Linked DNA regions of Caenorhabditis elegans. The protein of the gene in region 2 purifies or fractionates together with the protein of the main gene of each other region. This does not show direct contact. Each region holds a gene or a part of one and is shown on either strand. Other genes may lie near its edges.

Region 1 (17,858 bases), on a different chromosome or scaffold from region 2:
GAATTATTATTTCAATCCACGTTTATTCATGACTATGCTTTTGAAGATATTTAAGAGATCACAATAAAATTTGAACAAAGAAAACAAGATATTTCAACAGAAAAAGATCATCCATTAAATGAGTCAATTCGATTTCTTGACTTTTTGTTCCATGAGCTTGATGGCTTCTTTGATAACTTCATCATCTTCTTCATTTTCATCCATTTTCGTCTTTCCTCCATTCAACTTTTTGAGAAGTTTGTCTCTTCGACTTTGAATCAATTTTTGTTTTTTCATTGATTGTTTGACTCTCCAATTGAACATGAAAACCACTAAAATTAATGGAATTGTAAGAGCCAACACCGATTCGACCGTATAGAATGGGTGATCCAAAATCATCCAATACAACTTTTGAAACTGATTTCGTATATTATTCATCTACAAAAATTGAGAGATAAAAAAAAGTAACTTAAGAAAAATTAAAATGAAGTAGACAGAGTCTTTACACTGAAAAAGTCTTTACTATTCATAAAATGGATACTGAAGTTATAAATTAAAACTTTATTGATAAGTACAAATTTGTCGTTTTATTGGTACAACGAAGCTGAAATCACAGAAAATACAGAAAAAACACTGAGATGATAGAGACAAGAGTGTGAGAGAAAGAAAACGGAAAACCAGGTCAGTTGTTGGGAGGATAAAGCAAATAAGAGGAGGAGCGACACTTGAGCACTTCAGCAACCCGTATGGAGGACAAGTGAACTGTACTAGTTGAGAACAGACGATTGGCTGATTTCTTCCCAGTGCATATCGGTTGGAAGTCGTGCCTTGATTTCTCGTCTGAAATTGGCACAATTTGAATATGAAACAGATATTCGTAAAATACGTTTTTTGTGACAATTAACTTTAAAGGCACACGTCACTTTTCTGAGCGGGTCTCGCCACAATCACAGCAGTAGTTTAAAAATTTGTAGAATTTAATAGTAGCCAATTTTATATAGAAAATTAAATTATGAAATTACATATTAAGGGAACAATAAATCATGAGAATGCGTACTTGGTGCATTTTATTTGACGCGCGATATCTCTTAGCGAAAAATACAGTAAGAACTCAAATAACAATAGATATTTAAGCTCTTACTGTAGTTTTCGCTAAGAGATATAGCGCGTCAAATAAAATGCACTAAGTACACATTCTCATGATTTATTGTTCCCGTAATATATTAAGCTGTTCAGAAATTTCCTGAATTTACCTCAAAACGGTATGATTATATATTTTTTAATTGGGCTCTAGCAAAAATGTGACCGAAGAGAAACAAATCTATAAATATTGGATACGTACCTTTCTTCATAGTCATCAATACTAACTCGGAAAATCGAAGAAGCAAGTCTTAGTCCGAGATTTCCGTAGTAGCAAAACCTCCTTCCAGATGCTACAAAACATTTCCACATGGTGCATAGAATTATCTCTCGGAAAATTCCCCTGAAACAATTACGACGATTTATGGATGTTATTTTCGAGAAGTTTGATTCTATTTCGCTGTTTGAATTGGAGAAAGATAATTTTAAATATTTGGAAACTTCGAATTCATTTAATCAATTATTTCAGTTTCATTTTATGAACATTTCTGGATTTTGTTACAGTTGTATTTTCTATTCCCATCTAATAATACGAGAGGAGAAAAATAAAACAATGTTCAAATTTGTAAAACCCCATGATAGTTTTTTTTTCAGATATTCTTACTTTGTTCCGTTCATCATTCCAACGAAACCGGATACAGTTCTCCATGTTATCCATAAATCAACAGTAATTTCCAGCAAGCCAAACTTATCGATTCCAAAGCGAGGAATTGTCCAGGATTTCCATGATTTGAGTGTTAATTGTTTTTGATATCGTGTTCTGGAAATTGGAATATTCAGAAATTTTCTTCAATAAACTTTAATTAACGTACTGGCACTGAATACACATAACTTGTTGTACAGCATTCGCTTTCGAAAACCACATGGCCAGGCATTGATGATGAACCCACTGAAAAAAAAGTTGGAGTGAAAAACTAGAATTATTCGCGAAAATCGAACAGTTTCTCAAGGTTATAACAAAAATTTTTCAAGGTTCCTGAACTTTCCTAGTTAATTTTAATATCAATTTTCGCAATATTTATTTTGATTCGATAAGCATATTGATTCATGTATCTCTTTTTTAATTTAACACTCATAAATTTAATTTTTCTATTCAATAAGCATAAAAAACATTTTTCGAATATGAAATCTCACGTGAATAGATCCTCGACATCGACACGGATGAACGAAGCTTAACGCATTATCACTTTCCGTTCCGAAGCAGAATTTACAATATTTCTCGGTTTCCTGCTCATTTCCGTCGATTTCTAACGCCATCTTCCGTAACGGTTTGTTTATTTGTTTTTTTTTAATATAAAATCTGATTTCCAAAGAGGAAACCGGATTTCTTTGGTAGATACTTGAAAAGCGATGTGATGAGGGAGAAATAGCGTGCAAAGAGAGGAGAGTTGTGTCGATTTACGCGAGTTGGAACTATGGCAGGCAACTTGTCGCTACGAGACCCATTGTCTCTTGGCTCAGCCTAAATTTATATCGATTTTTCGGAAAAAAACAAACGTTTTGTTGTTTTTTAAACTTGATTTTTGTTTCATAGGTTCAAAATTTTAAATTTCGATCAATATTTATTTCTTCAATGTTTTGAAATCAGGCATTTCGAAATTTATTGATTTCCGGTTGCGAAATTGGTTAAGACTTTGTTTACTTTCTGTTCTGACTGGCGATATCTTTGGAATTTACTCATAATTTTTGTTAAGTTCTTACAGATTCACACGGACTAAACGTAAAACCACTTCTATGCGATTGTATTTTATAGTTTTCATCGATCCATGTAATTTCTCTCGGTGTGCACGTTCTTTAAATTCTGTCGATACATGCACATCTTCTGCTCTTGAGTATGAAGGAGACGATGTGCAGTCATTTTTTATTGTTGACATCACCAGTTTAAATAATCGATATTCTAAACGCTGCGTTCTGCACTTTTTCTGTTCTTGCTATCTGTAGAGAAAACACTTTTACCTTCACTCTGCTCTTATTTTGAAAAATAACGTTATTCCTCCTCCCTCAATTTCCCCTTCTCTAATTATTCTCTATCGTTTTTTATTTTATTAAAACTCTTTTCAGTGACTTCCTCAAACTGAAAGATTATGTCAAACGCTGTTAGTAGGGGGCCTGGGAGAGGGAAGCCGAATCAAGGTAAGTGCTCACGGTTTTTGTCAGTTTTCTAATTCCTTCAAGGTTTTCATTCAGATCACAATGCAGTTCCTATGCAGGATTCATCCCAACAATTCGTGATGCCATTTGTTAACACATCTGGCCCAGTGAACTCAAAGTAAGAAGTTGAAAATATTTTCCATGGCTAAAGTTCTTTTTCAGCTATCAAAGAATGCCAATGAACCAGTCGGCGTATCCACAATATGGCCAACAACAATACAACCAACCACAAACAAATCACTATTATCCGCCACAAGCACCACAGCACCAGCAACAATAGTAAGTTTTTTTTTAAATATTAAATATATTTAGCTTATCATTTCCAAAATTTTACTCACACTGAAAAATAAATTTTCTTAAAAATATGAGTATCCCAAACGCTTACTTCTGTTACCTACCAGTTTTTCATGAATATCATTTTCAGTGGTGGATATCAGCGACCGGACTATGGTCATCAACCACAGATGTACAATCAACAGTACCAAGGCTACCAAGCTCCTCAGCAATACCACCCAGAAATGCCATATCAACCAGCTCAGCCAGCACAACAACAGATGACTCATACAGCTCCACAAGAACCTAAACGGCAAAGGAAAGCACTGGAAATTGTCGATCCAACTACGAAAAAGGCAATTGAAGTGACGCCTCATCTTGCACCAGCTGCACCAGCGCCAGCGGCTCCAGCAGCCCCGATTGCCCCAGAGGAAGAAAAGAAAAAACAAAACATTACTTTAGAATTCTTGAATCAGGTCAAAAATGAACTACATCATGAAGACAGACGACATGATAATCCTCCTGCGGTCCCAGCTGCGGTCCCAGCTGCGGTGCAAGCTGCTGTACTTCCCAATTTTAGCGTACCACCGCCAGCCCTGGGACAGACACCTCCAGCAGCATCCATAGCTCCACAAGTTGTACCGTCCGTTCCGAAAACTCCAGAAGCACCAGCAAAGGCTGATTACGAAGTAAAACAAGCAGAAACCCTTGTGACGCCTGTTTCATCTCCCCATGCATCAGACACAACCACCACTACGCCCGCCAGTGGAACTGCAGAATCAGCATCTACTGTAGCTGATGTCAGAGTTACTCCAACACTGACAAAGGAAGAATCAAAAGAGGAAACTGATGATGATAAATTTGAGGAGAATGATGAAAGAGAAAGTACGCCAGACGTTGCTGACTCTTCTACAGAAAAGACTCCTGAGGAGCTGGAAATCGAAAAAGCACAGAAAGAAGCCGAAGAGATTGAAAAGAAAAAACTTCGCGAGGAAGCTTTAGAGAAAAGAATCGAGGAGCTTATCCTGGCCGGAAGTGCTGTCATCTCGGATGGAACTTTTGGAAGAGATTTCATGGTTACTATTCGCGAAATTGAAAAAGTTTTCTCTCGGACCCCATGTCCACTGTCACCAGCTCAGCTAGCTGATTTCGGATTGGATATCAAAACGATGCGAGTTTCTGATAATAAGAAGCCTAATTTCACACCAAACTGGGCAAACAAAGGAGGAAACCGCCAGCAGGTTGTAAGTTATCATTATTTAATAAAAGCCATAATTCAAACAATATTGTATTTTCAGCCATACCGTGGAAGAACAACCACAGATGGAACCGGGCGTGGCGGTCAGCAGCAAAGAGATCGTATGCACAACAAGCGACCACCAGTTGTTAGACCTTCGATTGAACGAGTTCAGAGAGTTACACTTCCATCATCGAAAGATGCATGGAAGCCAGACCGTCAAAAAACCGCGGAAGCTGTTGCAAGCGAGGAAGCTGCGGTTATTGTAAGTTATTCGTGATTAATCAAAACTATAAACTGTTAAACCAAATTTCAGGAAGTTTGTAAGAAGGTTCGGTCTCTTATGAACAAGGTGACGCCTACATCACAACGTCCTCTCACCGAAGAATTCATTTCCTACAATGTATCCTCCAACGATGCGCAGCTCGCTCAAGTTGTCGAAATCGTCTTTGACAAGGCAGTTGAAGAGCCAAAGTTCTGTGCTTTGTACGCTGAAATGTGTAAGGCTCAGGCGAATCATGAACTATCCCAGACCGGCGGAAAGTCAGCCTTCAGAAATAAGGTTTTGACTCGGACGCAGATGACATTCCAGGATAAAAAAGACATTGATGCAGACAAACTGGCAATCATCGAAAAAGAAGAAGATCCAGTGAAAAAGGAATTGATGCTTGCAGAGGAGAAACAGAAATTTAGACGGAGAAAGTTCGGAGTTATGACGTTTATGGGTTATCTGTATAGAAATCAACTTTTATCCACAAAAATCGTCCAAACGTGTACATTCGAATTGTTCAATTCGATCAAGGACCAAGATATTAAAAAAGAGGATGTCGACGAGGAATCTATTCACTGTGGTCTTCAACTCATCGAGACTGTAGGCGTGATGTTGGATAAATCAAAAGATTCCACGACCGTATTCCTTGATCAATGGTTCCAGAAGTTGGAAGCTGCCAAACCTTACTGCTCAAACAAAATCCGTTTCATGATCATGAATCTTATGGAGCTTCGCAAAGACAAATGGATTCCAAGAAAATCTACCGAGTCTGGACCGAAAAAAATCGATGAAATTCACAAAGATATTCGTCAAGAGAAGATTGAAAATGAGAAAGCTCGTGATCAATATGATCGGGATCGTGATCGTCGTCATGGAGGTGTCAGACCAAACAGCAACTCTCTCAGAAAATCAGTTCCAGTCTCCAGGAATTCATTGGATAGGAACCGAGGAATGCAACACCCTGAACAAAAAAGAGCCGCTGCTGCAGCTAACACAAAACTTGCCTCATCGAGTAAGTATTTTCAGACAAATATTTCTTCAATATTAATTAATTGCAATTTCCAGGTGTTCAACCCAAAAACATCTCGCTCTCTTCGATGGATAATAATACTCTTGGGAAGAGCAAAAAAGAGTGGCATTCTGGTGCTTCTGGTGGAGGAAACACTTCTTCCGAATCTGCCGTTCCAGTCAAATCAGCTTGGGGGCGACGTGATTCCAATGATCAACGCAAAAAGTCGACTGTTGACGAGAAACAGGCCGCTTTAGCTGCTGCAAAGGAAATCAGTGCAATGTCAATTTCTTCGCGGCGATCCACATCACAAAATTCGAATACTGACAAGACCGACGATGAGCTGACTGAAGAAGAGAAAGCTGTCAGAGCCAAGATTATGAATACCGTTAAATCCGATCTTCTAGAAATGTCTAGTGGTGAGCTCTCCCAAAAGGAATTGGTTGACTCTATCACCGATTATGTTGGAAAAGAAAAATACGGTTCGCCGTCATTGACAGTAGTCTATGAGATGATTATCCGAGCTGTGATCGAAAAAGGTTTGAAGGATGATGATCGAAAGAAGTTGGCTATTGCTCTGCGGATGTCATTGGTCAGCAAGACTGAGAAGCAAGCTTTTATAGAGGGGTAAGGCAAGAGTTTATGATTTATTGAGCTTTACAAATTATTTCAGAGCTACCCGTTTCTGCAAATTCGCTAATGATGTTGAGCTCCAGCAAGATTATCCCAAATTGTGGACCGTTACTGGTGAAGTTCTCGTGAACACAAGTCATGCTCCACATGACGAAATTGGAGAAGTTGAATCTTTCTCATTAGCGGACATGAAGCCAATTTTCTCAGCTGCCAAAGGAGAAGGAAATAAGAAATTTGACCTTCTTGTTCAAGTTTTGAAGCAATTGGTGAGTTATTGCAAATTTTAGTGCTCAGATTCAGTACATTGCGTTTATTTTTTTAATTTAATTTTTTTCAGATCGAGCTTGAGCTTGAAGTGACTGGCGCTGCAGAAGGAATCTCGTGGGAGTTTTCGGACATGAAGTTAAAGACTGAGATGGAAGAAGGACTTTCAGCAGAAATGGAAGCAGTGACGTTTAAAAATGGAAAAACGTTGTCGAGCTATTTGACGGGCAACTAATTTATCGTATTTTTGGATTTTCAAACTCCACAGTAGATTTATAGAGAACTTTTTTGTGTGCTAAAACCCATTTTAATTATCTATATAAGAACGAGTTGTTGATAATACGGTCTAAACATGTCAAGTTTTTCGTTTTTTCGCCGCGCGTCCATCCCTACCGATTTTATGTCTTATTGGGTATCCCATTAATGGTTTTCGATATTATTGCTTGTTTTTCTTTTGTTAGAGGTTTGCAAGAAAAGTTTCAAAATGAATAACTGATTATCATGATTTAGCTGAAGTAAATCAATTTTCAGACATTCAGATCATTTTTCCTGCAAACTTCCGCTCATTCTACAACTCGTCTCGAAACGTGAAGATTCTCTTCATTTTTCGTTTCGAGACGCAGAAATCAACTCGTTATAGCCCCTTTCCCACCCACCTTACCCTTTTCTTCTGATGATCACTAAAAATATCACGTTTTCCTCCAAATCATTAAATATTTATATCCTCATTTGGATTCCCGTTTCGTTTATTTGCTCCCAGTTCCCATTTCTTTCATTCGTTTTTCTATTTGAATAACCCTTTCATAGTCTCCTTGTTTATTGTTTCTAAATTAGCTGTTGGTTTTTTATTGGTTTCTCCCTTCATATTTCCATACCAGTTGGTCCCGAGAACATTTCTTGCTATGCTTGTTTTCGTGCTTAAAGGGTCTTTTCTAAGAGACGGTCGAAAAGTCGCTGAATTTTTTCGGAGTGCTGGAATTTCGTTGAATTGCATCGAATTTATCGTAAAACGAAGACTTTTGACTAGCTCTTAGCTTCATTTCTTTTCCAAATTTCCTAATTGTGTGTAAGTCAGTGCCTTCGGTCTGATTCCTGGATCTTCTAGAAATTGTGACAATTGGTTAATTTTAATATCCTCTCATCAGCCCATCTTAAATTTTCCACTTCCTTGAATTCTACGTTTTTCCTGTTTTAACTAATTGTCCTTCCGTTATTATCATCATCACCACCTCCACCACAAATAAAAATGGGCATCAAAATTGTTTTTTTTTTTTTTCATCATAGTTCTTGTTGGGGTTGTTCCCCATTTATATAGCTTGCTCTGTTTTCTCATCAAATGCTCACAGTTTTACGTTGACTCGATTTTGAATAAATATTTAGGAAATCGTGTCACTGGCGAATGTAAATGAAATCTAATATGAGAAGGAATAATATAAACAGTAATCGAGAGAATTTCGCCGTTTCGCAGGTTTGTTTGAATTTATTTAAAATTTAGACCTATAAAATTAAATAGTTTTTGAAAAAATTTGCTACAGTAACCTTTGATCTACCCGCGCAAATCTCAATTCTTTTTTCGTTAGAAACTTCATTCATCTTTCCTTGAGACAGGTTTTCAATTTTTGTCATTTTTCTTTACATTATAAAATTTTAAACTTTATTCTCGATCTGCGTAGTAATGGTGATGCTTGTCGAGGTTTGCGACAATGAATAGAAGAATAGGCAACTGATTTCTTTCAATTTTATTCGCTTCTCTCTCTCGTCTTCGCCTCAAAACTATTCTCTCAGTCTAAGACAAAAAACTGGTCTGGACACAGTGACTGTATGCAGAGTGTTTTTAACCCTTTTCTACCTCTCGTGTGCGCGCACGCTCACATACACACGCGGAGGATGTCCGTGAAGAAAAGAAAAGTAGAAGAGGATGAGAGACGTAGACATGTCCAGCATGCAGCATTAGTAGGGGTCCCTCTTCAGTCGATATTTGTCTCAATTTGAGTGGAGGCAAAGGAAAGCCGGCTTTTTTGGTGATCTGATCCTGTCAGTTTTATTTATGCATGATAAAATTAGTGGTTTCTGAGGCGTCCTTTTTTAAGAAAACTCGAATATCTTAATTATAAAATTATAAAATATCATTCAATATCCCTAGTAATGAAATTTTCTACCTTTTTATCTGAGTTTTTAGACGAAACGATGCGGGTTTTAAAAGAGTTTTGGAGATAAATACATTCTGTTTCCAAAAAAATTAACGCTTCGTACTGAACCATATTGTTGACATGGTGCATAGTGACATGGTTTCCCGTTTCAATAGAGCTTAGTATAGTAGTAGTTAATTAATCTACATCTTCTCTGTATGCTTTGTAGTAAATAAACATTATTTTACTTTCTATTTTAGAGAACTACCATTGGTACTCACAAGTTTCGTTTTCTTGTCTCTATTATTTAGTTTCCATGATCTTCACAATTTTGGTTTGAAACCATTGTCCATGTTTTTTTTTCTGCGCAGTTTCGGGTAATTATCCTGTCCCGCCGTTCGTCCCCACCCAATCCTCCCGTCAACACCAAAAAGCGTTCGTTCCGCTTCAATTACTTGAATCGATAGATGTTATTCGTCAATCCTCGTGGTCTCGGCACGAAAAGTCCCTCGCTTTATTCACCGTCCCTCCCACTCATGCTTTTGTTTAGATGAGTCACTATTGTTTCTTTCCGCCTACTACTACTGACTCGGCTGCAATTTTGACCTCAACTCCAATTACTTACGTGTTCGATCGATTTGGTTAGTGTGTCCTTCAGATGGTATTGTTGTGTGTTGAAGAAGTATAACACATTTCTTATTTCGCATCTTTTATTGTGTGTTCATATTGGAATTATAATCCCTTCGTAGTACGGTCTCTTTCCAATAATTGTTTTGATGCTTTTGAGAATTTTGGGTGTTTCTCTTCTCGATTTTTTGTTTTCAATAACAACAACAAAAAGAAATAAAATTCATTTTTTCGAAGTTACTTTTTGTGTTTTCAACGGTCACCTTCAATTTCCGCTCCGAAAAAGAACCTGATTTTCATAAAACGTCCGCCGCCGCTTCGTCGTCGTCATCAACAGAATTTTATCATCGCATCAGACTTGAATAGAAGCGAAAACGAAAAAAAAGACATCATTATATTAATAGTAATTTTCTAATGATGGCCATGATCACAAGTGTGTTGAGATTTCTCCGATTAGTAGATGTAGGAGACGTTGATGATGATGGTGCTGACGAAGTATTCAGTTAGATGAACGTTATTCTGCTTCTTTTCATTCTCATTCTTGACGCCTGCTTGTTTTCCGTTTCTCCGGTTTTTGGTTTGCCTCATTTGAATATATGCTACAGTACTCGACATGAGTGTAAATACTTAGGTTTCCGTATCTGACAGCTAAGCTTATTACGATTCCCGACGGATTTGACATTAATAGACCTAGCTGCATTAATGTTGTTCCTTTATTTTTGTCCTTATAATAATGCTGAATAAGAATGATATTTTAATTATTTTTGAACCGAACAAAAAATTTGCGTAATGTGCAGTACCCTAAAACGATTTCAAATTATCCCTATCGATTTGAAAGTTTTTGAAATATTTTGGTAAATTACGCTGGTTAGGATATAATTATTATGTTGCTATTCACTGTTTCCCAAGTTTTCAATTCGATACTAACCCATATAAAAGAGAAACAAGATTTTTCTTGCCTTCGTGTCTAACATCTTCTTCCAATATTTCGATTTTCTTGCCCATTTTCCCATCCACTGTCCAGGTGACGCATTAATTCAACGCAGCAAAATGTGAAATCAAGATGTTACGTAACGGGGGATCCTAGCCTAGGAATCATCAAGATCAGAGAGGTAAAAGGACATCAGATAGAGGCAGATAAATTCACAAGAGACTGACTGCAGCTGTCTTTCTTTTACGTCATGTTTGCAAAATGACTGGCGGCATCCCCGAAGGTGTGTGTGTCCTGTAAATCTAGTAGTCAAGCACACATTGAGTTTTGGAGGAAAAGGAGGAGTGTTCCGGCGAGTTTCCGCGCGGAAGAAGAGAGTGTGAGAGCAACTTGATCGTCTGGTTGCTGAGCAAAGCTACGCACACCTTTTGGCCATGTTTCCGTCGTTCTGGCTATTGTTCCATATTTGTATTGATTTTCCCTATTTGGTTTAGTCATGAAATGTTTCTCTGCAAAACTTGACGACATTACCTGATTGTTGGTCAACAAATCTTCTTTATTTTTGTCGTTTTTGTTACACATAAGAGTTTTGGGATCGCCCAAACGATTTCCGATAGTTTTATGGCTGATTTCTCTTGATTTCGTAATAATTCAGATCCTCACAGTTGTCGTATTCTCCAGTCAACACAGTAGTGACTCACTTCGGTTTGGATGACTAACAATGTCAATCTGTTTTCGTTTTCTTTCTTCTACTGTGATTTAGTGTTCTATTATGCATTGACTATTACAATAATTAAGTTACAGTCCTGATCTCGATTTTATGAAACTAACTACATCACACACTACGTACTCCCATTCCTGTCAAGATTGTAATCAGCTGATGTAAAAGAATGTCCCCTGACCGCAAAATAAATGAAGAACAGTCTATTTTTCTTAGTTCAAGGTTGACTGTAATAAAATAAAAAAGATTGAATTGAATATTTGTAAAAAATCAATTTCTCGGCTTCATAGAATTTTTCGCCAGATCTTACGCGCTCGGTCTCGCCACGCGGACAACGGGTTACTGTAACTCGTATCAACTTTAGATTACGTCTACGTAATGATCTCGCGTTTTTTGAAATATTATTCTGAATCATGTCATAAATTAATTAGAATATATCGTCGCTCAAATTGGAAAGGTGTGTCTTCAAAATATTTGTCAGTATGAAATAACTTTATTTACCTAAGAATTATTTTCAAGATTGCATAGTGCTTTTGAAAAGTATTGCTATTTGAATCCGACATTTTTTCTTATTTCCATTTCGAAAGTAATAACAAGTACATATCCAGTGTCAACTTGTCACCTTGAAGTATGAAAAATGACTACTGCACTTTTTCACGGTCGTCTTCATTTTTTTGTATTCTTTTATTCCGATATGGAGATGAAAACCGGTCGATCATGTGCCCCCAAGGGGGCTGATCATGATTTCACCCTCCTTTCACACTCTATCCCCCACCACCACCTCACAATTCTTTTTGGTCTCACTTTCGTTCCAAAAAGCTTTGTTATACTCTTAGTTTTCTTTTACTGTAATTTTTAAATTCTATTTTTTTTTCGTTGTAATAAATCTTATTTCTAAAGGTTCTCTCGAAACAATGGCTCAAAAGTCGGATATATCAGTGGAAACGGCAAATGCAACATCTGGAAAACCAAATCCACCATCACCAAAGTCCCGACTTGCAATGCTGAAGAGAACCAAGAAAGGTGAGAACATAGCTGAGTTCCGAAAAAATGATTTCTCAATTTTTGAGAGTATCCAATTGTGAATGTAGAGATATCAATTTGATAATTTAACGAGAAGATAGCCTTTTTGCCAATTTTCAACAGATAGATAATGTTATCTTTTTGTTATCTATAACATTTTCAGGAAAGAGTTCAAAGTTTATTGGTTCACTCTTTCTTTTCCCCCAAAAACTTGTGACAATGATCTGCCAAGCAGAAAGTTTGCTCCTTTCTTCTCTGCGTCTCACTTCGTTTTCTTATCTCTTTACGCTCTCTAGCGCCCGCTCTATGTGATTTCTATATCGATTTCTAACGAGTGTTTGTATACTTTTAAACTCATTAATAGATTTTGCAAATTTCATTTTAAGTGAATACCTAATTATCATGAAAAAGACGCAATTAGGGCGTTCGTTTTCCAAATCATTCAAGCAGAAAAAGGCGCGGGGTATGATTTACTCTATAATTATCAATCTAAAATTTAAACTTTTTAGCATCAAATGCATCATCGGATCCGTTTCGCTTTCAAAACAATGGAATTTCCTACAAGGTGAGTTTTTTTTAATGATTCATGTAGTAGTTTTTGTAAAATTGTTATTTCAGGGAAAGCTGATCGGAGAACAAGATGTGGACAAGGCTCGAGGAGATGCAATGTGTGCTGAAGCAATGCGAACTGCCAAGAGTATTATCAAGGCTGCTGGAGCTCACAAAACACGTATTACTCTTCAAATCAACATTGATGGAATCAAAGTTCTTGATGAAAAGAGCGGCGCTGTTCTTCATAATTTCCCAGTATCAAGAATCTCTTTCATCGCTCGTGATTCTTCTGATGCTCGAGCTTTTGGACTTGTTTACGGTGAACCTGGAGGCAAGTACAAGTTCTATGGAATCAAAACAGCACAGGCAGCTGATCAAGCAGTTCTTGCTATCAGAGACATGTTCCAAGTTGTTTTTGAAATGAAGAAAAAACAGATTGAGCAAGTTAAGCAACAACAGATTCAAGATGGTGGAGCTGAAATTAGTGTGAGTTTTTAGAATAATTCCAAAGATCCAATGCATTTTTAAATTATAAAAGTCCATTGTTATGACTTTATAAAAGTTCCAGAGCAAGAAGGAAGGTGGAGTCGCCGTCGCTGATCTTCTCGACTTGGAATCCGAACTTCAGCAAATTGAACGAGGAGTTCAACAACTTTCAACTGTCCCGACAAACTGTGATGCCTTCGGAGCATCACCATTTGGAGATCCTTTCGTAGACAGCTTCAACAGTACAGCCACGTCAAATGGAACTGCAAATATGTCTGGAACTCAAGTGCCATTTGGAGGACTTCAACTTCCACAAGTTCAACAAATGCAGATGCCAATGGTTCAAATTCCTCAACAATCTCATCAGAATTGGCCAACATCCGGAGCTGGATCATTTGACGCTTGGGGACAACAACAACAGCAGCAACAAATGCACCATGCTCATAGTACACCTGCTTTCGGAACAAACGGATTCTCGGATACTAATCCATTTGCGTCGGCTTTCAATACTCAAGCTCCGCCACCACCACTTCCAACTGTTGCTCCAACACAATACCGTGATCCATTCTCTGTACATTCCTCTGCTATTCCAAATTCAAATATTGATTGGACTGGAACTGGGACTACGAAAGAGAATATGGCACCATCTACTAATATCCAACAACAGCAGTCATCATTGCATCACGCCAGCACTTTTGCCAACTTTGGAGATAATAAGTGAGTGATATTCTAAAACCTAAATTAATAATAATCAAAAACAAGATTCAGGGCCGAAACCTGGAGTGAAAAGAAGGTGACGTCGCTTGAAGAAGCTTTCACGAAATTGGTTGATATGGACGCATTGGTTGGTGGACAGGGTATCAAGGAGACAAAAAAGAATCCATTTGAGCATATCTTAAACCCACCAAAGGTACAATTTAATCTATTTTACTAGCTTTTTAGTTTTTATCTTTGAAAATTGAAAAAATTAGTGGAGTAGGAACTTGTGAAATTGTCCGTAAACTAATTGCAGTATTTTCATTTTTAAATATTTTTCAGGCTTCTCTGAACTCCATGTCGACAACATGTTCTGCTGCTCAAATGGCTGCCACTCAACAGCATACGACTTCATCTCATGCTGATCCATTTGGTGATGATTTCTTCCGATAAATTGTGCCAAACATCGTTCTATTCAATGACCTCATGTGCCATGCAACAACAGCACTCTATCGTTTCTTTGTGTGTAAATTGTAAAATTTTTTTTAATTCTTCATAGTCCCTTTTGTATTTCACTTGTTTTAATTCAGTTTCTATCGCATACACTTTAGACCGGTGATCATCATTTCACACACCCACCCAAAACATTTCCTGTTCTTTTTTATTTTTGAAATTTCCAAAAATTCATATTCATAGCAATGCTAACAAAAATCCTTGTTTTCCTACTTTTTAACCATCATTGATTTGTTTAGCGTTTTAGGGAAATGTTTTTTTGTATTATTATTATTTTATATATTGCATTCAATGGACCACCATCAACCCCCCCCCCCCCCCCAACCATCTCTGTGATATTCTATCGCTATTCTATAGGGCCGTTTTCCAACCAACTTGTCAATCTCTCACCTCCCTTATATTCGCCTAATTTTATATTATCGGTTTGCTCTTCCGCCTTGCGAAATGAAATGCTTTCTGTCAAAATTTGTTAATAAGTTTATAGGAACACTGATTGTTTTAAGGAGGGAAGTAAAAACAAAAAAAAACCGAAAACGAATATATTCACAAATGTTCGATAATGTTCAAACGTTTTCAAAAGTCGATGAAAATTCTGCAACAACACAAGTTTGAAACTACAGTACTCTTCAAAGGCGCACACCCTTTTGTATTCTCTGTGCACGGAAGAATTTTATTTTTTTACTTCATTTTCCGAGACCCGAAGAACTCGGGGGATGTCCAATTGGGGGGATTACCAACTCGGGGGATTGGCCCCGCCCACAGAACCGTGGCTTGCAATACGCCCATTTCTGCAACTGCCGCACGGTTTTAAAACTGTATTTTTCTCAATAGAGCGAGAAATAACAAGAAAAAATAATTTTAAAACCGTGCGGCAGTTGCAGAAATGGGCGTATTGCAAGCCACGGTTCTGTGGGCGGGGCCAATCCCCCGAGTTGGTAATCCCCCCAATTGGACATCCCCCGAGTTCTTCGGGTCTCCATTTTCCACATCAAATAATAATTTGTGAAACTTGGGACTTCAAGCGACTACTATTATTGAGATCGTAGCGAGATTCACTCAGAAAAAACCAGCGTGCGCCTTTAAACTGAAGTTATGATACTTCTTTTAAATTTGAAATCAATTGTGATGGCGCGAGCAGAGAGACGAAAATCAAATTGAATTCGACGCAAGCCGAATTTTTGTTTGGGCACTTTAACAGCCTGGGAGTGAAATTGTATGTATCGACCCCTAAGGCGGAAACAGAAAACAACTTACAGGCTGCTCTAGACGCTGTAGTGGATTGGACAAGGGGAGCAAAACTCACCCTAAGCCAATCTAAGACAGTTCACGTCACAGTAGGGAGATGTAGAAAAGATTTTAAATACCACCTTGACGGTTACCCTATAGAGCGAAAAACAATTACCAGAGACCTTGGATTTCTAATATCAGAAAAACTGGATTTCTCGGAGTATTGGAAGAAATCTATCAATCTGGCGAAATTTCAGCTGGCCAACATTTTTAACCAGTACAGTACCTCCAATAAAAAACTAATGATTCTTTTATACAAAACTTTCATTCGTCCTCGTCTAGAATATGGAACAGTAGTGTCTTCTCCGACGAAAAAATCGGATGAGAAAGCAATAGAGTCTGTGCAAAACGCGTTCACTAGGCGCCTTTATAGTAGAATCAAAAAAAGGTATATTAATCCAACTGATAAAGATTACAAAACAGCCATGGAACGTAACGAACTATTCAACCTCCAAACCTTAAGCACGAGACGTAAAATAATTGACAGAATCCAAGTAATCAGAATGAATACTGGTAAAGTAGACTTAAAAACATCTGAGTTTTTTGAGCAACAAGCGACCCACACTCGTTCTAAAAAGAAATATGTCTGGCGCACAGGAAAAACTAAACTTAGGAGACACTTTTTTGTTAACAGAACGCTTTCTACTATGAAACAACACTGATCTGATATTATTCTTAATTTGTCCTCTTCCCTTCCACGTCTTGATCTCTCCTTTGAATATTCCCGATTTGCATTTCCTTTTGATTTTTTTCTCTATTGTGTTCTGTCTGTATTTTTTCTATTATTATTTTTTGCCTGTTGTGCATATTATTTTCACGACTAAAAATCGTAATAAATTAAATTAAATTAAATTAAATAATTTCCCCAGTTGCGACACTTCACCTTTTATTTCTCAACAAAGCATACACTTTGCCAATTCTTTGCAGTTTTCAATCGACTGTGGCATTTTCAGAAATATCATCCTTCAAGGTTGCTAACAGTTTTCAAGTTGCTCTAATAAATCCAAGAATAGTATTGTGAAAACTGCACTTTCTTACTCCCTTTTTCACAGAGTTTCTGATTCAAATAATTCGCAAAAAAAAAAACAAAAGGTTTGTAACAATCGGGGAGGATAACATGATGTTTGCTTGCCCACCACCACTTGCACCGCCACAGACACTTTTCACACATCTACAGTCCGGCTTCTCTTCTTGTTGTTTTCCTTTGTTTCTGGTCAATTGTTTGTACAGCGCCACGACTCCGCCCTATTTGTGAGAAAGAGCTGTCTTGCCCATCTCTGGACAATTAGTCTTCCTGAATCACACCTGTCATCCGGTGTTCACTAATAATATATTTTCTGTTGGTATGATCAAAAATATTGCCATTGTCAGTGTTGTCTTTTGTGCATTTGTCAGCACACAAAGAGCTCCGTCAACGGAAGTTATTGATGTAAGAAGACCTAAAATGTTTTGAAATATTATAAGTATTATCACATAAAGTTATTTCCGAATTCTTGTTTAGGAAGAATTTGATATTATTTCCCAGATCTAAATAATATTTGATTACTGTGTCACCTAAAAAACAAGATTTTCAGAAAATCCTCGGTAGTGCAGAAACAAAGACAATAGAGCAGATCAACAAAGAAATTGACAAGGTAAGTAACTAGAATCGGAAAGTGTTTAATTGACAAAATTGAAACTTAATTGAAACTAATCTAAACTTAACCTAAACTATATATTGTTCTGCTTCAATCGGCAAATCACATGCTATGGAATTTTCACTCACTACATCTAGACTTTTTTGACTACGAAAGTAATAATTTTAAACCTAACGAAAGCATTATGTTCTACGATTGTTCTATGAAAAAATTCCAATTTCACGGCGCTATGCGAACGTTATAAATTATTATTTCATTTTAAGAGATAATTACTGGATTTTCAAATTGTTATCCAATTT
Region 2 (15,661 bases):
TAATTAAATAAGATACAGAACATTGGAAATTATCTTTCTTTTGTTAAATGACATTTGTAATTTATGATATTTAGTAACTTACGTCAAGTTTTGAATATGTGTCAGCATAATATTAAAAATTGTAATTCAGATGGATTTCCAAGCCATTACTGGTATTCTTGGAGGAATTGGAAAAATGCTCGAAAGCAAAATTGACACCATCAATGTCCCTGCGGAGATGGTTATGGGAAAATGGTTCCAGATGTACAAGGCTGCTATGAACTTTGATGTTGTCCGCACCACAATGTTCTGCCCAGTTGCTTATTGTAAGTTTATCTTTCTAAAGTCTCAAAAACATGTTTTTGAACCTGTTCGAATCATAAACTAAGCTCAAATAACAAGTAACTTGCAGTCTCTCCTAATCCGATAATGGGTGAAGAAGGATTCTCGATGCAAGAAGCTTACAGAGTGGTTTCAAAAACTGGACCAATTGAGACTTACAAAAGAGACATGAACAAAGTTGGACCAGGACAATACTGGATGTACACTGAAGAGTACTTCTACCCAAGACAATGTGAGCGAAAAACATTTAATTTTGACTAAACTTGCTTTTCAGTTTACATTATCGGAGCTGGACCATCTTTCAATAATGGCACCAGAAATTCTACCGAGCCACTCCAATACTTGATTGCTTCTGATGCTAACCGACTTTCCCTCATGGTTTATGCTAGAGATCCTCTTGTATTTTTCCAGGTCAGTTGCGAAACATCAAGCGTTGCGGCGCGTGTTTTTTGTTTTTACTCTCCTGTAGGGCGCACTAGTGAGATTGATGAACACAGTGATTGACAGGAGGCGAGAATTGGGTTAGCTTATCAACATCGGTTGACCTTATTTTGAATTATTTCTCCGATTACAATCCGTGTCTATTGGATTATGGAATTTGGGATTCAGAAATCGGGAAAGAAAAAAAGCGAAAGTGACAATTGTCTGACATATTTGCAAACATAACATCATTTACAGAAGTACAACAAGGAGGTTGTTGAGTTCATGAATGGACACGGATTTGGAGGAAATGTCTTCTGGAACAGCCCAAAGCCAATTTACCAAGGACCAGACTGCGAATGGCCTTCTGAAAAGGAGGTCTTTGCCAGAAGGTAATGTAATTTACTCATGTAACAGACAGAAAATATAGTTTATTTTCAGAGTTTTGAAAAACCAAGAAATGAACGAGCGCAACAAGAATGGAACTTCAGACCCAATTCTTTCCGGAATGCCACTTGCCGACATGATCCGCGACCCAAAGCGTACTTTGGAAAGACTAGTTGGAACAAAAGCTTTGCAACAAGCCACCGCCGGAATCACAGCCGGTCCACCAGCCAGCCGTAGCGAGTGACCTCATTCTACCATTTTTCGCCATTTTTCCAGTACTTCTACCATTTTCTCTTAATAATCTCTTTCCAATTTCTTCACGCACTAATTATCAATCTGTGATCCTTTAATTATTGTCTACATGTATTAATAATAATATTAATAATGCAATTAATAAGACACGGTTCCGTGTTCCTTCCGTTGTATCTCATTGTCTTTTGAAAAAAGAAAAGTTAATTCAATAAATTTGTAAGTTCATTTTGAATCAGTGTTTTACAGTAGACTTACAGTAGTTTTGCAGTCGCTTACAGTACAATAGTATTGATATTGAAGGTTGTACAACGTTTACTTTCAGTTTATCCTCCTTTCCGTTTTACCGATTTTCGGCGTCATCCATTTGACAGTTTCACTCCCGAACTTCAAACTTCCGATAATAAGATTTTCGGGCCTGTGTACCGTATCAAAAGCAATTCGAAAATGTATGACTGTCTTTAGAGAAACATACACTTGCTGCAACTAGCAAGCGAAACGAGGACACGATTTGAGATTTGAGAAGATAAACTCGAAGAGGCGAGAGAAGAAAGAGAACACAGAGAGGAAAGAAATCGGCGAAGGAGGTTGGACAAAAGAGAAGCGAAAACACTGGACGGATGACCCCGGTTCATTCGACACACCTTCTACAACATCCACACTTTTATTCATTTCATCCATCGAGAATGCTCTCGATAGGCATCCTCTCTATTTGTCTTGTTGGCCTTGCCGGCGCCCAACTTGACGCTTTTGCTCTTCCATCAGCACAACGTTATGCTCCTAAACCAACAGTGCCACCAGAGTTTTCCAATTACTTTGAACTTGATGGGCATGCTCGCGAATTGGTGGACTCTCTGCTAGGACCCCGCCCAGGAGGCCTTTTCCCGGAAAAGACGTTCGAGATTGGAGCCCCACAAGGTCCAGTTCAAAATGGAAATCAGCCAACACACGTTGTTTCAAGCCTAGAGAAGACACTTGAGTCATTCTTCACTGCTCCAGAGCTTCCCGCTGGCCAAGCACTTCCACCAGGATTTGGGTCTGGGTTTTCCGTTGCAAACAACAATAAGGCATTGACTTCTTTCGGAGACATTCGTCGTTCGCCATCAGGCAAAAAGGAAAACCAGGAGGTAGAAGGATCCGGTGCTGTCGAAAACTCAATTGCAGGAATTCCAAATGTACGTAAATCATCTTTCTGTCAGTCCGTTTTAAAATTTGTATTTTAGGTATTCTTGAAGTTGGCAAAACAACCAACTGCTCTAGTTGACGCATTCAACAAGGCAGTTTCGGTTCCAAGAGACTCCAGCGGAAACCCAGTGTTTGAGACAGCACCAGTTGTCCCAGAAGGTGGATTCCTTCCAACTTCAGAAGTTCGTCGCTCTCCATCTTCAGTATCTGAAGTCTCGCACTCAATTGATTCTAAATCAGATGAACTTAATACAGAAGAGGTAAATTTTTTTCGCAGCGTTCTCGAACATTTATTTTTATCTTTTAGTATGGAGGTCTTTCCGAAGACTCAAACTCGTCTGGAGGTGGATTGATTGGAACTATTTTCAATCTTATCAAGCTCGGAGGAAAGAAAGCTAAGGAGAACGCCAAAAATGGGAACGGAACCGCTCCAGTAAGATTTCATATTCTTTTTAACCATCTTAATCGAGTTAATTTAGGAAAAGAACACTATCGGAAAGGCTGTATCCAACCTCCTTTCGGGAGAAAACAGTCCATTCCCAAAACCTGGTAGCAACATTCTGACTGATATGCTTTTCAAGACTCTTTCCAGTGGTTCACTCGAGTCCAATGGAACTGAAATTGAGAAGAGTGAAAATGGCTCAATTGTCCTTACCCCAGCTCAATCTGCCGCCATCAGCAGCAATCTTGAAATGATTCAAGATCTTATCATCAAGCCAAACTCTCCACTATGCACACAAAAACCAATCCCGGTTGAATTTGAACTCGATCCTCTTATGGGACAATGGTACCAAGTTATCTACTCTCCACCAGTATCTACTGGCCCTTGCAGCATGGTTTCTTACAAAAAACTTAGTGATAATGGAGAAGGTAACGTGCATTAATAGATTTTAATCAGTTTTAACTAGTTGTTTTTCAGCCACCGGATCAATCGTAGATGTCTATGAGTACACAACTGATGGAACTCCATATGGAAAGCCAATAATCTCTTCTGGATATGCCTTGGTGAAAGGAAAGGGAGAACTCATCTTCAGAACAAATTCCAACAAAGAAGATGTGACTGTGCACATTCTTAGCGTTGGACCATTGAATCATCAGGGAGAATATGAATATGTTGTCATGTCCACCAACTGCAACTATCCAGTCTATGTATTTGCAAGAGATACTAGCATTTTCAAGCAGGTATGAAAATTAATTAACAGTGATTATGTTGTGATAATTCAACTGATATTATTTTAGAAATACGAACCAGTTGTCAATGAGTTCCTGGACAAGAGCGGAATTGTGAATGGAATCTCTCGCCTGCTTAATGTTGTTGCTCCAGTCGACAACACTATGTGCATCTTCCCACCACATCTTTTCTACAACCAAGGAAGATAGTTTACTCGCCACCATCTTAATAATTTCTAATAACTCCTAATAATTTTTAATATGGTTTTTTTCCATCCATCATCCCGTTCTCATTGCCCTTTCTTCTCTTTCAACCCTCGGGTGATTACCTCATCTTTTTAAGTCTTAGTTTACAATCCAAAGCATTTTTCTTTAATTTTCATTTAGAAACTACACAAAAAATCAGGCCGTGGGCTCGTGCATTCCTTGTTGTATATAGAATTTCGAATAATTTATTCCTTTTTATAATTTCGGTTATATTTTTTCTACGTCTTTCACACTTGTCCTAATAATGTTGATAATATGCAGTTAATAAATTTTTTAAACTATCTATTTTTAACATTTCTTTAGTAATGAAGAAAGAAGTACAATTATTAAACGGATGCGCAATTCTTAACAAAAATGGCATCGTCGAAAAATCAGAGTTGATGTTTCTATAATTGATCATAAAGGATTAAATACAATTAATGAATATTCTCAATTTCTCGGCCCAGATCATTCTTACAACCATGTTATAAAATTATTCAGAAAAGTCATTTTTTAGAACTTAAAACTTTGGTTTACGAAAAATGCCGATTTTGACTTATTGAGAAAGGGGTTTCTTCTTATTTTCTTGTATCAATTTACTCATTTTTCAATTAGGTCAGGTCAAACTCTGGAACAGTGTTTGCCTGTCACATTTATCTTCATCATTCCTATTTCTGAGAGTATCTCTCTATCTCTATCAGAGTAATTCAATCCAGAGGATTAGAAAGGGGTACGGGGAAAAGCGAATATCGGTCAAGTGAAAGTGGTGACTGTCGCAATGATTCGCGGATACAGTCCAGTGAATCTTGCATGAAGAGACGCAAAAGAAGAAGCGAAAATTGGCACGTAACGAGAGTGAAAGCCTATCGACGCTGGACATTTTGAGGTCAACATATATCTCACCCGGACGATACAGCCCATTGAGAAAGCCCACACTTGGAAGTTCTAACGATGCAACGGCTGACGGCGGTTGTTTTCGCCTGCGTAATTGGAGGAGTTTTCCTCGCTGCACCAGATGCACCAACATTCGATAGCCTGCCCGCTGGAATCGACCCAACTGCAAAGGTAAACATTTTGTATTTTTTTCAGTTATTTGAGAGTGCTCAATTTCAGATTGGACCACCAGGAACTGACGACAAAGCTCTTGTGAAAGTTGGAGAGGTGGCTGAATCAATTTTGGATAAACTTGGATTCAGTACCAGAGATGAAAAGGATATTCGTCGTGCCCCAGTGCCAAGTTCTTTCTTTGGAGTGAGTATCTATGTAAATCTGCTGAATGAAATATTCTTCTCGTTTCTGAAATTAAAAAAAAATCTGACGTTTAGAGTGACGATGTCAACCAAGTTATTGAAGAGGCTAATGCTAATCGTGTTGACCTTCAAGGAATCACCTCTGGACAAATCCCAGGACTTGCTCCAATCCCAGTACCAGGATTCCCAGGACCACAGGACGCACCAGTTATTCCAGGAGTCAACACTATTCCAGGACTTAGCAATTTTAACTACCTTGTCGGACAACTTTTCCCACAAATGATTCCACCAGCAAACACTCTTCTAGGATCTTCAATCAGCAGAATTCTTCCAAAGGATACTGCAAAAAATATCGCAAAGGATGTGTTCAGAGCTGTTCACCCAACTGCTGAAAATGTAGATACCGCTAGAATGATGGGAAGATGGTTCCAAGTTATCAACTCTCCACATGTCATCCGTGAGGCCTGCACCGTGTCACACTGTAAGTAGCAGATTATATATGTCTTAACTAAAACACTTTTTTTAAACCATCTTGCCAATGTTCAATTTTCAGTCGGAGCCCTTACGAACAACACATACTCTGCTTCCTTCACCATCCTCAAGTTCTACAGAGAAGGAAATCCAAATGGATCCCCAAGATATGCTCTCGGATACGGATTCAAATCTGGAGAAACTGGACAATTCGTTCTTCACAACTCCAATTCTGCTGATGCCGAGCCTTGTAAGTTATAAACTAACTACATAATTGATAGTTGTGAAATATGCTCAGTCTGGGTTATCAAGATGGGACCACTCAATGAGTACAAGCAATACGACTACGCCATCGTTTCTACCTGGGTCAGATATCCAGTCTTTGTCATTGCTCGTGACCCAGAACGCTTCAGAAAGCTGCACATGAAGAATGTCCTCGAATTCTTGCAACAGAACAGTGAGTTAACATGGTAGAGCTTTTTTATTTAATAATTTTAATATTTAGACTACATCAACGTCATGACCAAGGCCTTCAACATGATCTCTCCAGTTGACTATGAAGCCTGTCAGTACACTCCAACTTTCTCTGGAACCGGAAAGTAATTGCTTGCAAGCGCCGTACGACTGTCATCTCGCTGTCGGGTATCCTCCATCAATTAATTGTTTCTCCCCAAACATTCCATTCTGTGTGTAGACAGATTTTGTAATAATAATAATTATAATAATGAAACTAATAACAACAAGAAGTTAGTTATAATAACTTGTAATTTTTCCCTTTCCTTGTGCCTCATTAATAACGGATTCTATGAAATCCTGATCCTCAGTTTGACAATAATAAACTATTTGATATTAAACCGTTGATCCTCAGCAAGTGTATATATTTTAAAATTAAATAAACAGCTTCTTTTTAGTTACATAGAAACTGTAAACTAAACACTCCGAAGGCAGTTTAAAAAAGGTAAATGAAGTTTACAAAAATGCCAACATAGTAGTGGAGCGGGGCCATCGGAAACCGATTAATATTTCAGATGTGAAATAGCTAGACAATTATTCAGAATGATCTACCGTTTTGAGTAACATAATCTGTTAAAATTTAAACAAGTCAACAATTGCTCATTATTTTTCTAATTTCATCATTCCTACAAACTAAAATTATTTACAGAAACTGCTCCCTACTCTGGAAGTTTGAACCTTAAATAATAAAACTTCAGGGATTTGAATTTGTGTTCCGCAATTAACTGTTTAAGCTTTTGGATTACAAATGTCTTGGTTTTATACCTGAGGTTTGAACAAACAGTTTTCAAGATTCACAACATCCATTTAAACTTTATCACCGACTCACAGAAGATGCTTCCTACGTGCCAGTTATTTTGAGAGATAAAGAGGAAAGCCTCTTTGGAAAAGTGCAAGCAACATTTTTCAAATATCCAGGTCATCTTTCCCAAATCTTGTCGACCAAAGGCGACTGTGTTGCGCATTGCGCTTCTCAGTGGATTATGTCAGATTCGATATCAAAAGTTTTTCTTGGACAATTCTCTCATTTCGCTTTCGTAACAAAATTGGGTCATGGTCGGTTGTGTTTTATCTCGAATTTCCCGGATAGCTGATTGTAGAAATCGGATAAAAAGAATGAATTAAAACAGGGAAGTTAATTTGAAAAATTCGAGGAGAAAGGCAGCCGGAAAATTTTATTTTGCGTGTCAGTTGAGAGAAAAGTGTTTATTATAAGCGTGTTTAGTTCAGGACCTGATACTTACAAACATGGTAAAAAACGAAACTGGGCAAATTAGGAAAAATCGAGTATTTTGCCATTGAAAACGACAAAAAATGTTCAACAGTGCCTGAATAAACCATGAAAGTATTGCCCAAGATAATTTTAAGCAGGTATTTAATATTAGTAGTATTTAATATTAGTAGGTAATCAGGTAACAAGTATAGGCAGGTATGCTTAAGGTTCATTTTTATTTTGCTGAAGATATTTTGCTTTAGCTACTTTCAGACATTTCCCCGTATATTTGCAATATGTAGAAGACTGTAGTCGGAGAAATGTATCAAATAAGTATCTTCAAGTAAAAACGTTCTAGAGAATTGCCTGCAAATTTGAATGTTTAAAAATTGACAATTTTTTCCACAGAAAATATATAAACAATTGCATAACTTTTTTAAACTTTTTAATTATAAAATTTAAATCAACTCTACAAATTTCCTCTCAATACTCATTGATTTTCTATTTTAAAGGTTTATGTTCATGTTCAACAATTATATTCACGCGTTTAAATTTTATTCCTAGATTGCTCAATTCATTATTCATTGTCCTTCTGTTCAGGCGCATGTTTTCCGAAAGATCAGCATTTGGGCACGCTCCAGGACAAGCATCAAAATGACAAAATTGAGTTTTAGCTCTCTGAATGTATGTCTCAAATCCGAATCACAGAACTATTCTTGGTCACGTTTAGTGCACATTGTGTTGCATCTCACTGGTCAGAATAAGGGGTACTCATTGCACAAGCTCAAGAAGACGACGAGAAGCAAGATGATGAGTTGCGGCAGACGACAAGACACATAGATCGATAGGCGCCGGTGATGGAAGTGGAGAGCAATGGAGCACGCCTCTCGCCCCCGGGCTTCATTTGAAACCTCTTCTTCTTTTTTTCCCTTCTTTTGCTACTTGGGGCCTTTTAGAGAAAAAAAAGGAGTTGAAGAAGAAGGAAAAGTCGCCGTTTTGCTGTTGTGCTTGCTTGTTTTTCCTATTTCTCCTCCTTTTTCGTTTTCTTCCAAGTGGTGTGCACCAGTTGAACGCTAGCTGCAATGGAGGAAGAACCAGTGCGTCCCATTGACTACTGGGTTTGTAAGTGACACTTAAGTTGGGAATGTGCAGAGAAATTGCAATGATTTTAGGTCGCGCAACAGATAGATTCATCGGTGACGAGGAAAGAATTAAAGCATTGGACTTCATAATTGAAAGCATTTATAAACAAGTAAGTTTGAAATTTGTGAGAATCAAGGAAAACAATACAACTGGACAAAGATATTTTGAGAAACAATACTTTGAAAATGCATGTCCTTTGTTTTCGTTTATTTTCAATTTGATTAGATGTAATTTGCCTTTATTTTTTAGTTAAACATATAACTCAATTTCATCAGTTTGCTTCCGTTTATTGATACTTGGGTAGTGCTCAAAATAATTAAATTCAAATTAATGAATTGAAATCAAAACGTAAGTTCTTTTCTAATTTCTAGCATTAGAAGTAATTTCTGAACCTAAAGATTGAAAAAAATTGAAATTTTATTAAAATTAATATTCCCGTGTTTAAATATCACAAAGATCTACAACGTACAAGTTTTCAGCCTGCAAGTGCACTGCTCGCAGTGGATCTTTTTTCACACAAGCTTTCAAGTCCTTCACAAGAAGAAGCGATGCTTACAATCAGAGTGAGGATTCGTTTACTTCAAAATCATGTTCAAAGATTTTCTATTCAAAAAACCATATTAGACAATTATTTTTTAGTTTAAAATAATGTTTTTCAGGCTCTTGATTATTTAGTACGCAATGGAGGCGAAAAGGTTCATGAGCGCTGTGGTCGTTACAAATTCCTAAATGAGCTTGTCCGATTGATAGCTCCCAAATACAATGGGAAATTGACAAGCGACGCACTGAAAACGGAAATCATAAAGCTGCTGTTCATCTGGCAATTGTCAATCAAGCACATTCCAAAATACAAGCAAGTGTACGAGTCATTAAAATTGAGCAAGATAATCACTGACGATCCGCATGTTAGAGAAACTGAAGTTCCTGTTTTCGCAGGTGATTTTCTCTTCACTTTATAATAATAATAAGTAATATTCACGTCTATTTTCAGTTCCACCTGTCAGGTCATCGGTGTTTGACAATGAAGAGCAAGCCGTTCTTTTGAAAGCTTTATTATCAAGTAATCGCCCAGAAGACTTGGAAACTGCCAATAATCTAATCAAAACTCTTGTAGAAACTGTAAGTTTTTTTTTCAAAAAGTCAATGTTTCAGTCATTGAACATTGAATTATAGTCAAGTAGTCGAAACATCAACTTTGAAATCAACTCTAATCAAATTTTCACGCCTGACGTTAGTGCATGTAAATTCACATTAGACGTAATCCACCCACGAGTACATTGCAGGAAGAGCACAAGCTTGTCAAGATTCATGAACGCCGGAAAAAGTTAGATCATGCTATCAACCTGTGCAATCAAGTTGAACATCTACGGCTCGACAAGGCGGCGGAAACAATCGGACTCGGAAATTATTCGCCAGATAATGAACTTACCCTTCAGGTTTTGATTAGTATAAACACTTTTAATTATTAAAAATTTCGGTTCAGAGGGTAACGAATGAACTGATTCAACTTCAAGAATTGTTTTATGGATATGTCAATGAACTAGCAGAAAACAATGATCCTTGCCTAGAAGAAGTTTTAAATATTAACGACCAAATCAATAGAGTTCTGCCCGAAAATGAAACTCCGAAATGTGGAAATAGAGCCCCAATTTCGGCAAGAACTCAGTGTAAGTCCAATTCGATTATTTTCAATTGGTGGGCTGTTTCTTTGACTTCTTCATTATTAGTTTGTGTTAGCATTTAGTTTCTATAATAAATTAATAAAAACCACTGAACAAAAAAATATTCTTATTTTAATTGTTTATTCATTAAATTGAACTGCAACTAAAAAGATCGCATCATTTCAATTCTATTAATAATGATTATTTAAGTGGATCCAGAGAACCAAGAATTGCTTGTTTTCAACACACCAACAAGCGAAGTGCCTCCTAAGAACGGATTTTGTGACCCCCGTGATTTGGTTAGTAGTTTTAATACTCAAACTTTCCGAAAACCAATGATAATTCAGGAAGGAAGTTTGCTAAACAATATGATAGAGTCGGAGTTCGTCGAAGAACCAAAGGTTGGTTGGAATTATTTTTTCAAAGTTTACGGACAAAAAAATTTTCTAGATCGTTCCCGTTCAACAAATGACGCCCGTTTTGAACCGGAACAGCTCAGCAAGTCCTCGTGCTAGTGGAGACTCTTCTATATTTGAAACTGATTTTCTGGCTGGGAAACGGCTCCCAGAGTAAGAATTATTCATTTGAATAATGTAGTTCAACGATTTTCAGACCTCTCAAACCACCGACATTGAATGAGTTGAAACCAAATACAACAACAATTACGCTAGAAGCTTTAGAAGTTCTGGTACCACCAATGTCCCCAGAACCAACAAGTCTGTCCCCAAAAGCTATCCCTGAGAAAGTTGCACTGAACCCAAGTTCAATAATAATGAGTTTGTGAACCAAGTTACTGAACAAGTTTAATTCAGAAATTCCAGGGAATCGCGTACCCATTGAAGTACTCTACAGCAAAGGTATGAGGATTCTTCTCTACTATTGCCAATCAGATATGACTGTCAGCAATATTCATTCTTATGTGTTGGTTATTCAGAATCACAATAATTTCACAATTAAAGATGTCAACTTGAGCTTGAAAACAAATGATAAGGTAACTGATCTTCAAAAAACAAAGCAATTATTCAAATTCTAATTTCCTAAACCACATCATGTTGATTCATTTAGAATGTCATTATCCGGCTGCAGGATTCTGTCAACAATCTTGCTGGTTTCAATATATTTGGTCAGCAAGAAACAATCAACCTTCTTCTTTGCATTCAGCAACTTAATGACGTCAAAGACGTTGAACTTGACTTCACTCTAGCTTACAAAAAGAGTTTAGAATCGGCGATTAGTGGAAGCTTCACATTACCCATCATTCCAGAACATATTTTTAATATTAATTTTTGAATTGTAAATTGAGAAAAATATTTTTTCGTTTGTTTTTTTTTGTCCCGGTTTACATATTTTGTCGATTTCGAATGACTAGAAAATGCTAAACATCCCCAATTTTGCTTGTATACGTTTCATGTAAAGGTTTTTGCGAAGGAAAATATAAATCTTGATTTAATCTTTTAGCTCAGGCAGTAAAACGCTGGCATTAAATGCAATCTTCATGGCACTTGTGTTGGAGAAGAGTACAAAACTACCAAGGATTAATTTTAATAAATATCTTTATTTTTCCATGTATATGTATTCATTGAACATTATATTGTTCAAAACAACAATAAATGAACTGAAAATGGTTTTAATAATACTTTTCTGTCTTTTAGAAAAAATATTTTATGTTAACCTATGTCGACAAATATATTATTGACGGTGTGTCTAAAACGTCAACTTTTCATATAGCTCAATTGGGTCTCAAACAACGTTTTGTTGTTAAATTTATTAGAAATAGCTTGAAAACATAAACTTTACAAGAATGGTTGTAACATTAGCAACTGATTGATAACTCGGTAAATTAGCACCACTTCACCACCAACTTTAGCCACTTTATAACTGCCATTTACAGAAGTGGCAAAAATTGGTCGAAGTTGGGCAGTGTTTTCACGCTCTGAACAACTGGGAAAAGTTGGTTGGAGTTCGCAAACGTTGACCAAAGTTGGCAAAACTTGGCGAAAACTGGTCAAGAAGTGGACAAGGTTGGCTAGAAAAAAGGTAAAGTTAATAAAGTTAATTGGAAAGTGGTTGAAACCTAGTGGAAGTTAGAAAGTGGAAAACAAGCAACAGGTATATTTTCTAGTGCCGAAAACAAAATGTAACGGTTATTTAAATGCTAAAAAGTTTAAATTATATCAGCACGATGAAATGTCAGTTTAGTCTGTGTATTTTATATATATATATTTATTCAAAACGTCGTAATTGTGAAACAAATTCACGCTTTTAAAAAAGTTTTAATCAAATTTTTTTAATTTTGGAAATTTGAAGTTCGTTCTCATTTCTTCTAAAAAATACTTTGAGCATTGTGGATTATGTCGTCTAACAATTTGCCACTGCGAGAATGCCAAATTGTCGTAAGGTTCGGTGTGCGCGGACTTGCGGACCTGCGGGGTGTCCGTGCGTGAGCGTTTCCATGCACCCCAAAACACCTTTTTTCCCGACTCGTATCGATCTGCAACTCTCTTCACAATATGTTTCTTTCGATTTCTGTGATATTTTCATTTTTTTTATTGAGTAAATTTTGCCTAACAAAAACGTTTAAGGCAAATATTTTGCATCTTTCGGCGCAGGCACTGCCGACGTTTTTGTTTTTTCATGTTTCCACCTTCTGGCGCTCACACAAAGAAAACACCTGTACAATCGTCTTCAATCAGTCAATATGTTTCTTTTTATCAATTCTTATCATTCCGTCTTCTAGTCTCAAAATATAATTTGATTTAAATCGGTCAATTTCTCGTAAAAACATTTGAAGGAAATTATCGATTTTTCAATCCACGCCAAAGCTCTTTTGTGTGCTACAGCTAAAATCAAGTTTCGCAGATCATTTCAAATGATTAAGAGTCTTATCAATGTCAATGACAAACTAAATTTGTCGGCTCGAGGCATAATGTATGGTTTTCATTTCTCCTTTGTTCCTTTCGTGTTGAAAAATATATGATTAACTAGTTTTGTCGCAGCTCTAAAATATGCATGTTTCCAAAAATTCCCTATTGTTATTGGAGCGCACTTTTTGTCTCTCCGTCTCTCTTATCGTTTGATATGCCTATAATCTCTAGCCACAGTTGTTGTTTTTCATTTTTAAGTTGCGATTCCATTTATCGATTAATTAATATTTTACTTACATATTTCAGAAAATCATGCCGGAAAGAGCTGATGCAAGCTCCGGAATGGTGCTTCTTACCGGAAACTCGCATCCTGAGTTGGCGAAAATGGTGTCAGAGAGACTTGAGATTCGCCTCGGAGAAGCGACTGTTTACAATAAAACTAACCGAGGTAAAATTTTGTGTTGCATTAAGAAAATCTAAAATTATATTGACAGAAACCTCCGTTGACATCAAACAATCGGTTCGTGGAAAACACGTCTTCATTCTCCAGAGCGGGTCAAAGTGAGTTGCAAATGTTCTTGATGGAAACTAAATTGCAATCTTAAGGAACGTGAACAACGATGTGATGGAGCTGCTTGTTCTCATCTATGCTTGCAAGACATCGATGTCAAAGACAATCACAGTCATCATGCCATATCTCCCATACAGCAAACAATGCCGAATGCTCCGTCGTTCGTCAATCGCAATGAAACTTGTTGCCGAGATGATTTGCAAAGCAGGTTAGTGTGTAAAAAGATTTGCTTTTACACATTACTAGAACTCGGGCAGTACTCAGTTCTAGTTCTAGTTTCAGTTTTAGTGCGAAAAAATGTGTCATCGACAGTTTTCACATAGGCAAATTTTCGAAAATTGGGAGAATTTGTTTATGTATTATATTATAGTTTTTTTTTCGATCTTTTCCAAATTTTTAAGCCGCTTGCCAAACAAAAAGGTTTTCATAGTCATAAAGTGTTTTTATTTTCAGGTGCCAGTCGTTTAGTCTCATTGGATTTGTACAAGAAGGAGATTCAAGGATTCTTTTCGTGCCCAGTTGACAATCTTCGTGCTTCACCGTTCTTCCTCCAACACATCAAGACCAACGTAAGATAATTCCAACAAGTCTCTGGAAATATATCGGACAATTTACAGATTCCGGATTACAAGAATGCCATCATCGTTGCCAAGTCGCCGGGAGTCATGAACAAGGCCACTTCTTACGCGGATCGCCTTCGCCTTGGTAACATATTTGAATTTTTGAAACTAAATTTCCTTTAAGTACCCTCATACAACTCAATCATCACTTTGCAGGATGTGAGTTATAAATTTAAAAGATTGAGAAAGTGAGAAATAAGCTTATTCAATTTCTTTCTCATTCACATATTATACACAAACACATGATGGTTGGGCGAGTTAACAGACATGGGAGTTTTTCTCTTGATATATTTTTTCTACTTGTGGTGAATGTTGTCTCTGAAACGACGACTCACTTGCACCCTGTTTTCGAAACTTCTCTTTCTCTCTATCCGGCTCCATCTATATAAGTTTTGTCGACTCCCTCTCATTTTTGTCTCGTTTGTCCATCACTTAAGAACATCACACATAACACACTTCATGTTGAGTTTTTCATAATATCCTGTTGAATTTCCAGGTGTGGCTGTTATTCACGGAGAACAAAAAGACGAGGAAGAATCAGGTCTTGAAGATGGACGTCAATCGCCACCACCAAATGTCACTTCGTACGATTTTCTCCCAGCTCAGGAGTCCAAGCAGAAGCCACCACTTACAGTTGTTGGAGACGTTGGTGGACGGATTGCAATTATGGTGGTAAGTTATGCGATACATTTAAAGCTTTAATTCTGTTTTAACAAGCTTCATTAATTGAACAAAGTTGGAGTATTGCTTTGTACTGAGAGAAAGATTGACTCCATTGACACCACCAAACGGAATTTAATTTCAAATATTTCCAGGACGACATCATTGACGACGCTCAATCGTTTGTTGCCGCCGCTGAAGTTCTGAAGGCTCGTGGTGCATACAAGATTTACGTCATTGCCACTCATGGGGTTCTGTCGTCTGATGCTCCTGCACTTCTTGAAGCTTCTCCAATCACCGAGGTTAGTATAAGAAATGTATCATTTGTCACAGAGTTAACAAAAATTTTTGAAAATTCAGTTGACGCACTGATTTATGGTAGAAACAGGCTCAGAACAATAATTCAAATATTCAGGTCATTGTTACCAACACTGTTCCACACGACCTCCAGAAAATGCGTTGTCACAAGATCAAGACTGTGGACGTCTCACTGATGATTTGTGAGGCAATTCGCCGCATCTTTCACAACGAGTCGATGGGACAACTGTTCCGTGACGTCACCCTTGACGACTAGTTCTTCCGGTTACTTGTATTCTTCTCATTGCTCTCAGTTCACTTTGTCTATTCCAAAATTACGCTTCTTGAGTCCGTCTAGTTAGACCACTTTTCCCCCAACAAATCATCAATCACCGTTTTACAATACATTTCCTGTGCCAA

The links.
Region 1: the proteins of apt-9 (region 2) and dab-1 purify together in Caenorhabditis elegans (affinity purification with western blotting, with the first as the bait; one study listed by BioGRID). This does not show direct contact.

The regions. Positions count from the first base shown.
Region 1 is NC_003280.10:8,214,051-8,231,908, forward strand, and holds dab-1 (PID domain-containing protein), read left to right. Parts: upstream 1-8,337; 5' UTR 8,338-8,425; intron 8,426-12,265; 5' UTR 12,266-12,279; coding exon 12,280-12,388; intron 12,389-12,669; exon of another isoform or gene 12,670-12,790; coding exon of another isoform or gene 12,791-12,851; intron 12,852-12,897; coding exon 12,898-12,953; intron 12,954-13,006; coding exon 13,007-13,426; intron 13,427-13,502; coding exon 13,503-14,143; intron 14,144-14,188; coding exon 14,189-14,336; intron 14,337-14,464; coding exon 14,465-14,575; 3' UTR 14,576-15,099; downstream 15,100-17,858. Other genes in the region: M110.10 (Small integral membrane protein 15), read right to left, coding at 124-417; M110.3 (E3 ubiquitin-protein ligase MARCHF5), read right to left, coding at 747-819, 1,322-1,462, 1,724-1,879, 1,932-2,008, 2,254-2,376; ifg-1 (MIF4G domain-containing protein), read left to right, coding at 3,204-3,252, 3,295-3,388, 3,433-3,549, 3,695-4,787, 4,842-5,045, 5,097-6,063, 6,117-6,687, 6,734-6,959 and 1 more; M110.9 (DUF148 domain-containing protein), read left to right, coding at 17,268-17,351, 17,497-17,556.
Region 2 is NC_003284.9:11,060,259-11,075,919, forward strand, and holds apt-9 (ADP-ribosylation factor-binding protein GGA1), read left to right. Parts: upstream 1-8,268; 5' UTR 8,269-8,507; coding exon 8,508-8,547; intron 8,548-8,597; coding exon 8,598-8,677; intron 8,678-9,047; coding exon 9,048-9,131; intron 9,132-9,227; coding exon 9,228-9,504; intron 9,505-9,559; coding exon 9,560-9,687; intron 9,688-9,743; exon of another isoform or gene 9,744-9,833; intron 9,834-9,851; coding exon 9,852-10,004; intron 10,005-10,051; coding exon 10,052-10,235; intron 10,236-10,439; coding exon 10,440-10,528; intron 10,529-10,576; coding exon 10,577-10,630; intron 10,631-10,679; coding exon 10,680-10,798; intron 10,799-10,841; coding exon 10,842-11,005; intron 11,006-11,050; coding exon 11,051-11,220; intron 11,221-11,294; coding exon 11,295-11,519; 3' UTR 11,520-11,789; downstream 11,790-15,661. Other genes in the region: lpr-6 (LiPocalin-Related protein), read left to right, coding at 131-305, 392-553, 596-732, 1,000-1,133, 1,183-1,372; lpr-5 (Lipocalin domain-containing protein), read left to right, coding at 2,064-2,552, 2,601-2,822, 2,870-2,995, 3,042-3,432, 3,482-3,744, 3,802-3,942; lpr-4 (Lipocalin domain-containing protein), read left to right, coding at 4,930-5,043, 5,092-5,229, 5,304-5,709, 5,782-5,949, 5,998-6,156, 6,205-6,302; W04G3.5 (Ribose-phosphate pyrophosphokinase N-terminal domain-containing protein), read left to right, coding at 13,406-13,541, 13,588-13,654, 13,700-13,872, 14,118-14,233, 14,282-14,369, 14,781-14,956, 15,100-15,246, 15,360-15,518.